2 linked regions of the Canis lupus familiaris genome follow. The protein of the gene in region 1 binds, or shares a complex with, the protein of each later gene. Links are inferred from orthologs where the notes say so. Each region holds a gene or a part of one and is shown on either strand. Other genes may lie near its edges.

Evidence for each region.
Region 2: the proteins of NXF1 (region 1) and NXT1 are in contact, whole or in part, in a crystal structure (PDB 4WYK), measured with the Homo sapiens proteins. The link is inferred for Canis lupus familiaris from reciprocal best matches to the Homo sapiens genes NXF1 and NXT1. Residues at the interface, in NP_006353.2 of Homo sapiens: Ala366, Pro367, Thr368, Thr369, Leu370, Pro371, Pro372, Cys373, Lys374, Gly375, Tyr377, His411, Gly413, Cys415, Cys416, Ser417, Leu418, Ser419, Ile420, Pro421, Phe422, Arg440, Asn441, Val442, Lys443, Lys444, Lys446, Pro448, Thr449, Arg451; in NP_037380.1 of Homo sapiens: Phe6, Lys7, Val10, Asp11, Cys14, Glu18, Thr44, Val46, Trp47, Asn48, Gly49, Asn50, Ala51, Phe61, Met64, Leu65, Pro66, Ile72, Ser73, Val74, Val75, Asp76, Cys77, Gln78, Pro79, Val80, His81, Glu83, Ala84, Thr85.

The regions. Positions count from the first base shown.
Region 1 is NC_049239.1:54,402,653-54,406,552, forward strand, and holds the start of NXF1 (nuclear RNA export factor 1), read left to right. Parts: upstream 1-1,658; 5' UTR 1,659-1,791; coding exon 1,792-1,819; intron 1,820-3,352; coding exon 3,353-3,536; intron 3,537-3,754; coding exon 3,755-3,900.
Region 2 is NC_049245.1:674,397-678,296, forward strand, and holds the start of NXT1 (NTF2-related export protein 1), read right to left. Parts: upstream 2,357-3,900; 5' UTR 1,912-2,356; intron 1,511-1,911; exon of another isoform or gene 1,382-1,510; 5' UTR 1,310-1,381; intron 674-1,309; exon of another isoform or gene 654-673; intron 1-653.

The sequences.
Region 1 (3,900 bases):
GATGATGCCCTTCCCCTTCCTGAGAGTGAGGAAAGGAAGTGAAACTGCCCCCGGGACCAACTTTCCCATCTGGGTTAGAATTTGACCTCTCTCTTCTTCCTCTCTCCACTACGTGAGGCAGGGGGCCCTGAGCCCCTCAGCTGCCTGCACAACCCCACCTTTGGCTGCTGGTGACTCTCAATCTGCCAAATGCGCTGCAGCCCATTTTCTCCCAATTACAGCAAGACTGTCAGCCTCATTAGCCATGTTGTCATTTCTGGGTGGGAGCGTCGAGGGCCTTCACAGCCTGTGGAGTGAGTGTGCTGCCTAGTACCAGAACTGCAAAGCTGGGCTGATGGCTCTGAGGGCCGAGCTTTGGGGTGGGTGCACACAGCTGCCTCTGGGCTGGGAACAACCAAGTGCAGCAGCGTTTCATTAGCATGGAAACGTCAGAGGGGGAAGCACTACCCCAGAATGGGTCCCTGATTGGTGCCAACTTCCAGGATCATCTCCAGTAGTACTTGTACCTGTTTCAGCTGCATCCTCTACCCAGCTGGCCCCCATTTTTCCTTGAACTGGATGACGCAGGAGCTCTGCCTGCTGCCGGGAGTGAAAGGTGAAGAACTGGTTTCCCAGCTCCAGCTGAGGCTCTTGGTCCACTCCAAGCCTCTCACCAAATCCAAGCCAGTGACAGGAGAATGAAGGAGAAACCTGCCTGCAACACCCACCCTCCAGGGAGATTAATACACTTCTGGGCCAGGAGCCACAACCACATCATTCTGAGATTACTGCGGTCCCCCCACATCTCACACACCCTAAAGGAATTTCAAGTTACAGAGAACCACCAGCATACTGAGAGCTGACCCTAGAACTTTGGCAGGCTGGAGAGGGGAAAAGGAAGGAGAACGTATGTCTTTTCTAGGCCAGCATTTTACTATTTCCTCTCTCCCTGGCCTCTGTTCAGCTGGTGGTCTCAGTTGCATCTCCACTGCCCAGCTGACAGTGAATGTATTTCCGGCACAGCACTTCAGGGGTGGGTGGGGAGGTTGTGAAGACAATTGCTTGCCAAAGCTGGATAAACGCACACTGTCAATTGACTTCTTGGAAGGATGCATAGGTTGGAAGTTCATTTATATCACAAGTGTTTGTGGAGTTATTGGCACATGCCAGGCCGAGTTCCTGAGCCAGGAGCTGGAGAAAAAAGGATGAATTAGTCAAGGTCCTTGCTCTCTCGGGGTTGACATTCTAGTTTTCTGTTGCCCGGCAATCTATAGACAAGAAAGGGTATCTATCCGGCGCTGGCAGAGGCCGGGCTGAGACTTCAGTACTGGCTGTGTGCGGCTAGGGCTCCGTGAACGGCCACTGACCACCCCGCTCCGGGAGAGTCGGGTCGCCCGCTGCTCGGAAGCCCTTCGTGTGCGGCCCCCTCCCGTGTTCCTCCCGGAGTCCCGGGCTGCGGCAGCCTGCTCTCGGCTCCGGCGCTCGCCCCGGAGGTGCTGGCGGAGCGACGGAACGGAGGGGGCAGGCGGCGGGGCGGGCCGACGCGGGGCGGGCTGGACGAGCGCGGGTCTCGGCAGGCCCGGGAGAGGCCGAGCCCCGCCCCCGGCGCGGCTGTGGCCCGGTGCGCACGCGCAGCGGCCGCGCTCCCCGGCGGCTCCGCCCACCACCGCGGACGTCGGCGGCGCGCGACGTAGTTCGCAGCATAAATGCGGCGGCGCCGGCGGTAGGAGCGCTTCGGCCCGGGCGCCCGGGTGTTCGCGCGTTCGGCGGAGTTCGGCCCGCGCCTGAGCCGGCCTCGCTTCTCGCTGCGCCATGGCGGACGAGGGGAAGGCCTACAACGGTCAGTGCTGGTCGTCAGGCGGGGGCGAGGCGATCGGGGGCCCGGTGGGCGGCGCCGGTGTAGGCCGCAGCCCCGCGGCGGGAGGGGCGGGAGGCGCGGGAGGCGCGGGAGGCGCGGGAGGGGCGGCGGCGCGGGAGGGGCGGGGGCGAGGCCGAGGCCGCCTGCGGGTCGGGCCGCACTCGAGCGGGGCGCCGGCCGTGTTGACGCGGGAATCGTGGCGTTGCGCGGAGCTTCGGCCCGGGGCTGCGGCCTGGCCGGGGGGGGGCGATTCCTTTGAACTTTGTGGGTGGTGATGCCTGTCAGTTGGATTTGGCGCCCGGACTCTGCCTTTAATAGGAGTCCGTGCCCGGCTCATCGGCTCCCTGTGTCGTTTCCCACCGCGTCCGGTCTCTTGTCCCGCGTCCCCTGCGGCCTTGGCTTTGGCTTTAGTATTCTAGACTTCCACACCGGTTCGCTGTGCTCGCCCGAACACTACGCACGGTTTTAGTCCGGAGGAGTGGTGAGGAGGAGCACATGACAGCCGGGTTGAGTCCTGAGTCGTCTTCCCCGAGCTTGAGGGAATTCCACTCCCAGGCCTCATTTTCTATCTCCGTAGGAGGTGGTGACCGTACTTACTTCCTGGGTTTGCCCTCCTGTTCAACGAGATCATTCGTATCAAGTGCCCGGGGCATAGTGCCTGGCACTGAAGAAAGTTCTCAGTGAATGTTTGCTGCGCCTTATATTCAGTTGTGGTGTTTTGTTTTGTTTTTTGCCCTCCCCCCCGCCCCCCGTCATTTCTTAAGGTTCATTGTTTGCAGAACACTAGGCATGAGGCGTTTGGGGAGTCAGGGACCTTTTTGTAAGATGCTATTCTTACACCCCAGGATTCAGAGGGTCATGTTCCAGGGGAGCAGTCCAGGACCCTTGGCTAAGCTCCCTAGTTGCCACTAGAACCTGAATCTTAGGAGTTGTCTCCTAAGTTAAAAAAGCATTTTTTGCCAAGGAAATAAACAGCTCATTCCCAAAAGTTCAGAGTGGCAGTTTGAGAACAAGAATTTTAAAGAAGCCCTTAATTTTATTTGTAACTGACGCTTGTACTCTGCGCAAGGGAAGCTTTGTTTACTGAGAGCTGATGTGATCGTCGTGATTGGTTGATTTAGGAGATGTTGAGCGAGGTCACCATCCAAGTTTTGAGAAGGCTTAAATAGATTTGGGAAACTAAGAGCAAGCAGATTTCAGGTGACTTTTCAGGGGTCTAGTTCCACACTGGGTCCATATTCTACTCACACTTCCACATTGTGCCTTTCCCGGTCTGTAAGTTCCAGTTCCTGAGTCCTTTTTCTAAAGCCCTGCCCTGTCTTCCAGTGATGTTTCGCTCCTGCTGCCATGCCACAGAGAGGGTTCTCCTCTCAACAGACAGAAGTTTGCATGGAGGTGGGCTCTGTAGTTGGTGTGTATCTCATTTGATAGCACAGGCTGCTTGCTACTGTGATTCCCACAGCAGGGTAGCTGGGCTGACAGCATGTTTCTAATGGATGTCCTTTTTAACCCCAGAGCATGATGACCGTGTTAGTTTCCCTCAAAGAAGAAAGAAAGGCCGGGGTCCTTTCCGGTGGAAGTATGGCGAGGGGAACCGGAGGTCTGGAAGAGGAGGTTCTGGCATTCGGTCTTCCCGCCTGGAGGAAGATGACAGAGATGTGGCAATGAGTGATGCCCAGGATGTTCCCCGAATACGACAGTAAGCGACCAATTGATCTGGTTTGAGAGCTCAAACCAGATTTATTTATATAGCTTTCTGCTGCCCACACCATTTCCCTTCTCACCTGGAAAAGTGAGGGATGTCAGGGCCAGTTTAATGGTTAAATAGTTTTAGCTATAATCCTGACAACAGTGTGGGAAGCCTTTGAGAAGACATTCCTAGTGTTTGCGGACATTTTATTCTCTGCTTCCCCACAGCAACCCCTATCCTCCCCGACCCAACCGTCGAGGTGACAGTTGGCATGATCGAGATCGCATTCATGTTACTGTGCGGAGAGACAGAATTCTTCCAGAGAGAGGAGGGGCTGGCACCAGCCAGGATGGGACCTCGAAGAACTGGTTTA
Region 2 (3,900 bases), on another chromosome or scaffold:
AAAGCCTATCATGAGCTCACCCAACAGATAGTGGGAGAGCAAAGAGAAGGCAGGTTTTCTAAGATAAGAGAACAAATGTCACTAGCATGGTACCAAAATAGTGGTCAAGATCCTCATGACACGGCTAACCTTCAGCTACTGGGAATGAGAAGGGAGGGCACCTAGCTTCCATGAGCACAAATACCTACAAGGCAAGTTCTGTGAGCCAAAATGGAAAGACAAGTTAAAAATGGAAAGGCAAGTTCTGGGACACCTGGGTGGCTCTGTTTGTTACGTGTCCAACTCTTAATTTCAGCACAGGTCATGATCTCAGGGTCATGGGATCCAGCCTTGCATCCAGCTCTGAGCTTGCAGCAGAATTGGTTTGTTACTCTCCTTCTGCTTCTCTCCCCCACCGTCTCAAATAAATAAAAATCTCAAAAATAAATAAATACAAGAATCACGTAAGTTGTATGGATTGAGGATGGAGGTGGTGGCAACAAAAAAAAGAAACTCAACTGTGGCTGAAATGTCACATTTCCTTAAAAAAAAAAAAAAAAAAGCCCCAAAGCATAAAGAAATATTATTATTTGATAGTCTCAAAGTATGGTACAACTGTTACAGTTCCCTGCTCTTCTTTGCATCATTAAAATATTTCACTAGAAGTGGGGTACCTGGGTGGCTCAGCTGGTTAAGCATCTGCCTTCAGGGCTGGTTGTGATCCCAAGGTGCTGGGGTCAGGCCCCATCCCAGCCCCAGCCTGCTCCCTGCTCAGATGGCAGCCTGCTTCTTCCTCTGCCCCTCCTCCTACTTGTGCAGGTGCACGTGCCTGTGCTCTTCCTCAAATAAATAAATCTTTAATAAAATTTTTAAAAATGAAATATTTAAATAAAAGAAAAAATTCACGGGACTATTACTAAGATAATGGATACGTTTAGATATACACTTAATGAATGTTTGTTTCAAAGACCTTAACTTCTTTTTTTAAATATCAGCTCATGAAATAGAGAAAAGATTTCAAAGAGTTGGGAAAGAGGAGGGTGCACAAGGAGGAGGCCTCTGCCCTGGAGTAAAGAACTGTAAAGAGCAGGCAAGGAGCTCAGTCCTAGAAATGAGGAGAGAGAGGAGCAGACACAGCCCGAGGTCTCTGCACTCCCCCTTTGGACCCAGAGTCAAGCCTCAGCGGACAGGTTGCGAGCTGGGTATCTGCCGCCTACTTTGAATACATCACCTCCTTCGACGGTCACCACAAAAGGACACACAATCTTAAAAATGAGAAGGGAGACAGGGGTTGGATCACGGTCTGACGGCAAGCACGCGCCTGATTTACCTTCCTAAGAATGCTGGTGGCCTCTGAAAACGTCAGGCCTCCGCTGTCCTTCCCTTGTCACCCTGCGCGTCCCTGCAGGTAGGAAGTCGAGTCTCTGAGAGCACCGCTCGGGGCCTGCCGCTGGCTTGAAGCTCCCCTCCAGGGCCCGGCCCCTGACCCCACGGGGCTCCCCGGCGCGCCGGGCCCTCCGCAGCCTCGAGTCGTTCCGCGGGCGCCCTGCCCACCCCTGCTCTACCGGCCGGGGCGACTCCCAAGCCCAGCCCAGCACCGGTCCCGGCGCGGAGGGGAGGCACCGGCTCCTCCCCCGCGCTGCTGCTGCCCACAGCGCCGACGGCTCCCCTCCTCCATCCAATCCGGGATAAGAAACGTCGGAAGTGAGCTAAGAACGAGGCCGCGAGGCCGCCGCCTTCCCTCGAGGCCTCCGTCGGCAGGTCCTAGGCGCTGGACCAGAGACCACGCCACAGGCCTCATCCCGGCGCCAGGCGCTTCGCACCCGCCCGCCCGCCCGCCCGCCCGCCGGGTCCTCGGCCCGGACCTGCCGCACTGCCCCGGCTTCCCCCGCGACGGAGCCCGCCGCCAAGCGCCGGGCACGGCGTACTGACCTGGGGCGGCGCCGCCAGCACAGCACAGGGACGCGGCGGGGCCCGGCCGAGCGCCGACGACGCGGACGGGCGGGGATGCACGCGGGAGGCGTCTCCGGAGCCCCCGGGCCGGGCCTGCGGTCGTCGGCCTGCGGGCCGCGGGGGACGCTGGGGGCCTCTGGGGGCCTCCCTGCGCGGCGGGGGCCGGGGTCGGCGCCGGGGTCGGCGTCTCCCGGCCCGCGTGGGCGGCGGCTCGCCCCGCACGGCCCCCGGCTCCACGGAGGTCGCAGGGCGGGCCTGCCCAGGCTGGAGGTCCTCCGCCGCTCGCTTCAGGGAGGGCCGGGAGCGCCGCCCTCTGCCACCCTTCTTCCCGGACCCACCAGGGTCGTCGAGACCCCTGAGCCCGGCCGGGGACCCGCAGCCGCCTCCGCAGCCGCCCTCCGCAGCCTCCCGCGCGCGGCCCGCCCCGCGCTGCGCAGACGCCGGTGCCCGCGGCTCCGCCCCCTCCCGCCTCCGCTTGACAGGCAGCTGTGTCAGCCAACCGGACGGAGGACCTGGAGGCTGGCCCCGCCCAGGTGTGGCGCAAAGGACACGGTGGCTTCCGGGAGAGGCGCTTTCCCAGAAGGCCACAGAAAATCAGCGGTCGGGTTTTCATTGGCTTAACTAGGCATAGGACCCGGTCCGATTGGTCACGTGGGTTTCTTGATTGGATGAAATATCCCAGGTCCCGCCCCCGGAGCAAGAACCGGGAGAGGTGTGTCCCGCGCAGTGGAGGCCGCCGGACTGGAGAGGATGGGGAGGAGTCTGTGCGGCGACCTCAGGTTCTTGCCCTATGACCTCCATTCACCTGCAGTCGGGGAAATTCTATTAATAGACGACTTGATGCTATCTCGGAAAGCCAGCACTAGAAGCAGGCAGTGACCCACGGAGGCTTTCACACAGGCACGGCAGGTGGGGCGCCGGGAACACGGACTCCGCCGAGCCCCTGGGGAGCTCTGCCTGAGGAGGGCTCTCGGCTGGGTGCTCCCCCCACCACGTGGAGCTCGCCCGAGGAGGGGTCTCGGCTGGGTGCTCCTCCCCACCACGTGGAGCTCTGCCCGAGGAGGGGTCTCGGCTGGGTGCTCCTCCCCACCACGTGGAGCTCGCCCGAGGAGGGGTCTCGGCTGGGTGCTCCCCCCCACCACGTGGAGCTCTGCCCGAGGAGGGGTCTCGGCTGGGTGCTCCCCCCCACCACGTGGAGCTCTGCCCGAGGAGGGGTCTCGGCTGGGTGCTCCTCCTCACCACGTGGAGCTCTGCCCGAGGAGGTGTCTCGGCTGGGTGCTCCCCCCACCACCACGTGCAGCTCTGCCGGAGGAGGGGTCTCGGCTGGGTGCTCCCCCCCCCACCACGTGCAGCTCTGCCCGAGGAGGGCTCTCGGCTGGGTGCTCCCCCCACCACGTGGAGCTCTGCCCGAGGAGGGGCCTCGGCTGGGTGCTCCTCCTCACCACGTGGAGCTCGCCCGAGGAGGGGTCTCGGCTGGGTGCTCCCCCCCACCACGTGGAGCTCTGCCCGAGGAGGGCTCTCGGCTGGGTGCTCCCCCCACCACGTGGAGCTCGCCCGAGGAGGGGTCTCGTCTGGGTGCTCCCCCCCACCACGTGCAGCTCTGCCCGAGGAGGGGTCTCGGCTGGGTGCTCCCCCCCCCACCACGTGCAGCTCTGCCCGAGGAGGGCTCTCGGCTGGGTGCTCCCCCCACCACGTGCAGCTCTGCCCGAGGAGGGGTCTCGGCTGGGTGCTCCTCCCCACCACGTGGAGCTCGCCCGAGGAGGGCTCTCGGCTGGGTGCTCCCCCCCACCACGTGGAGCTCTGCCCGAGGAGGGGTCTCGGCTGGGTGCTCCCCCCCACCACGTGGAGCTCTGCCCGAGGAGGGGTCTCGGCTGGGTGCTCCTCCCCACCACGTGGAGCTCGCCCGAGGAGGGCTCTCGGCTGGGTGCTCCCCCCACCACGTGGAGCTCTGCCCGAGGAGGGGTCTCG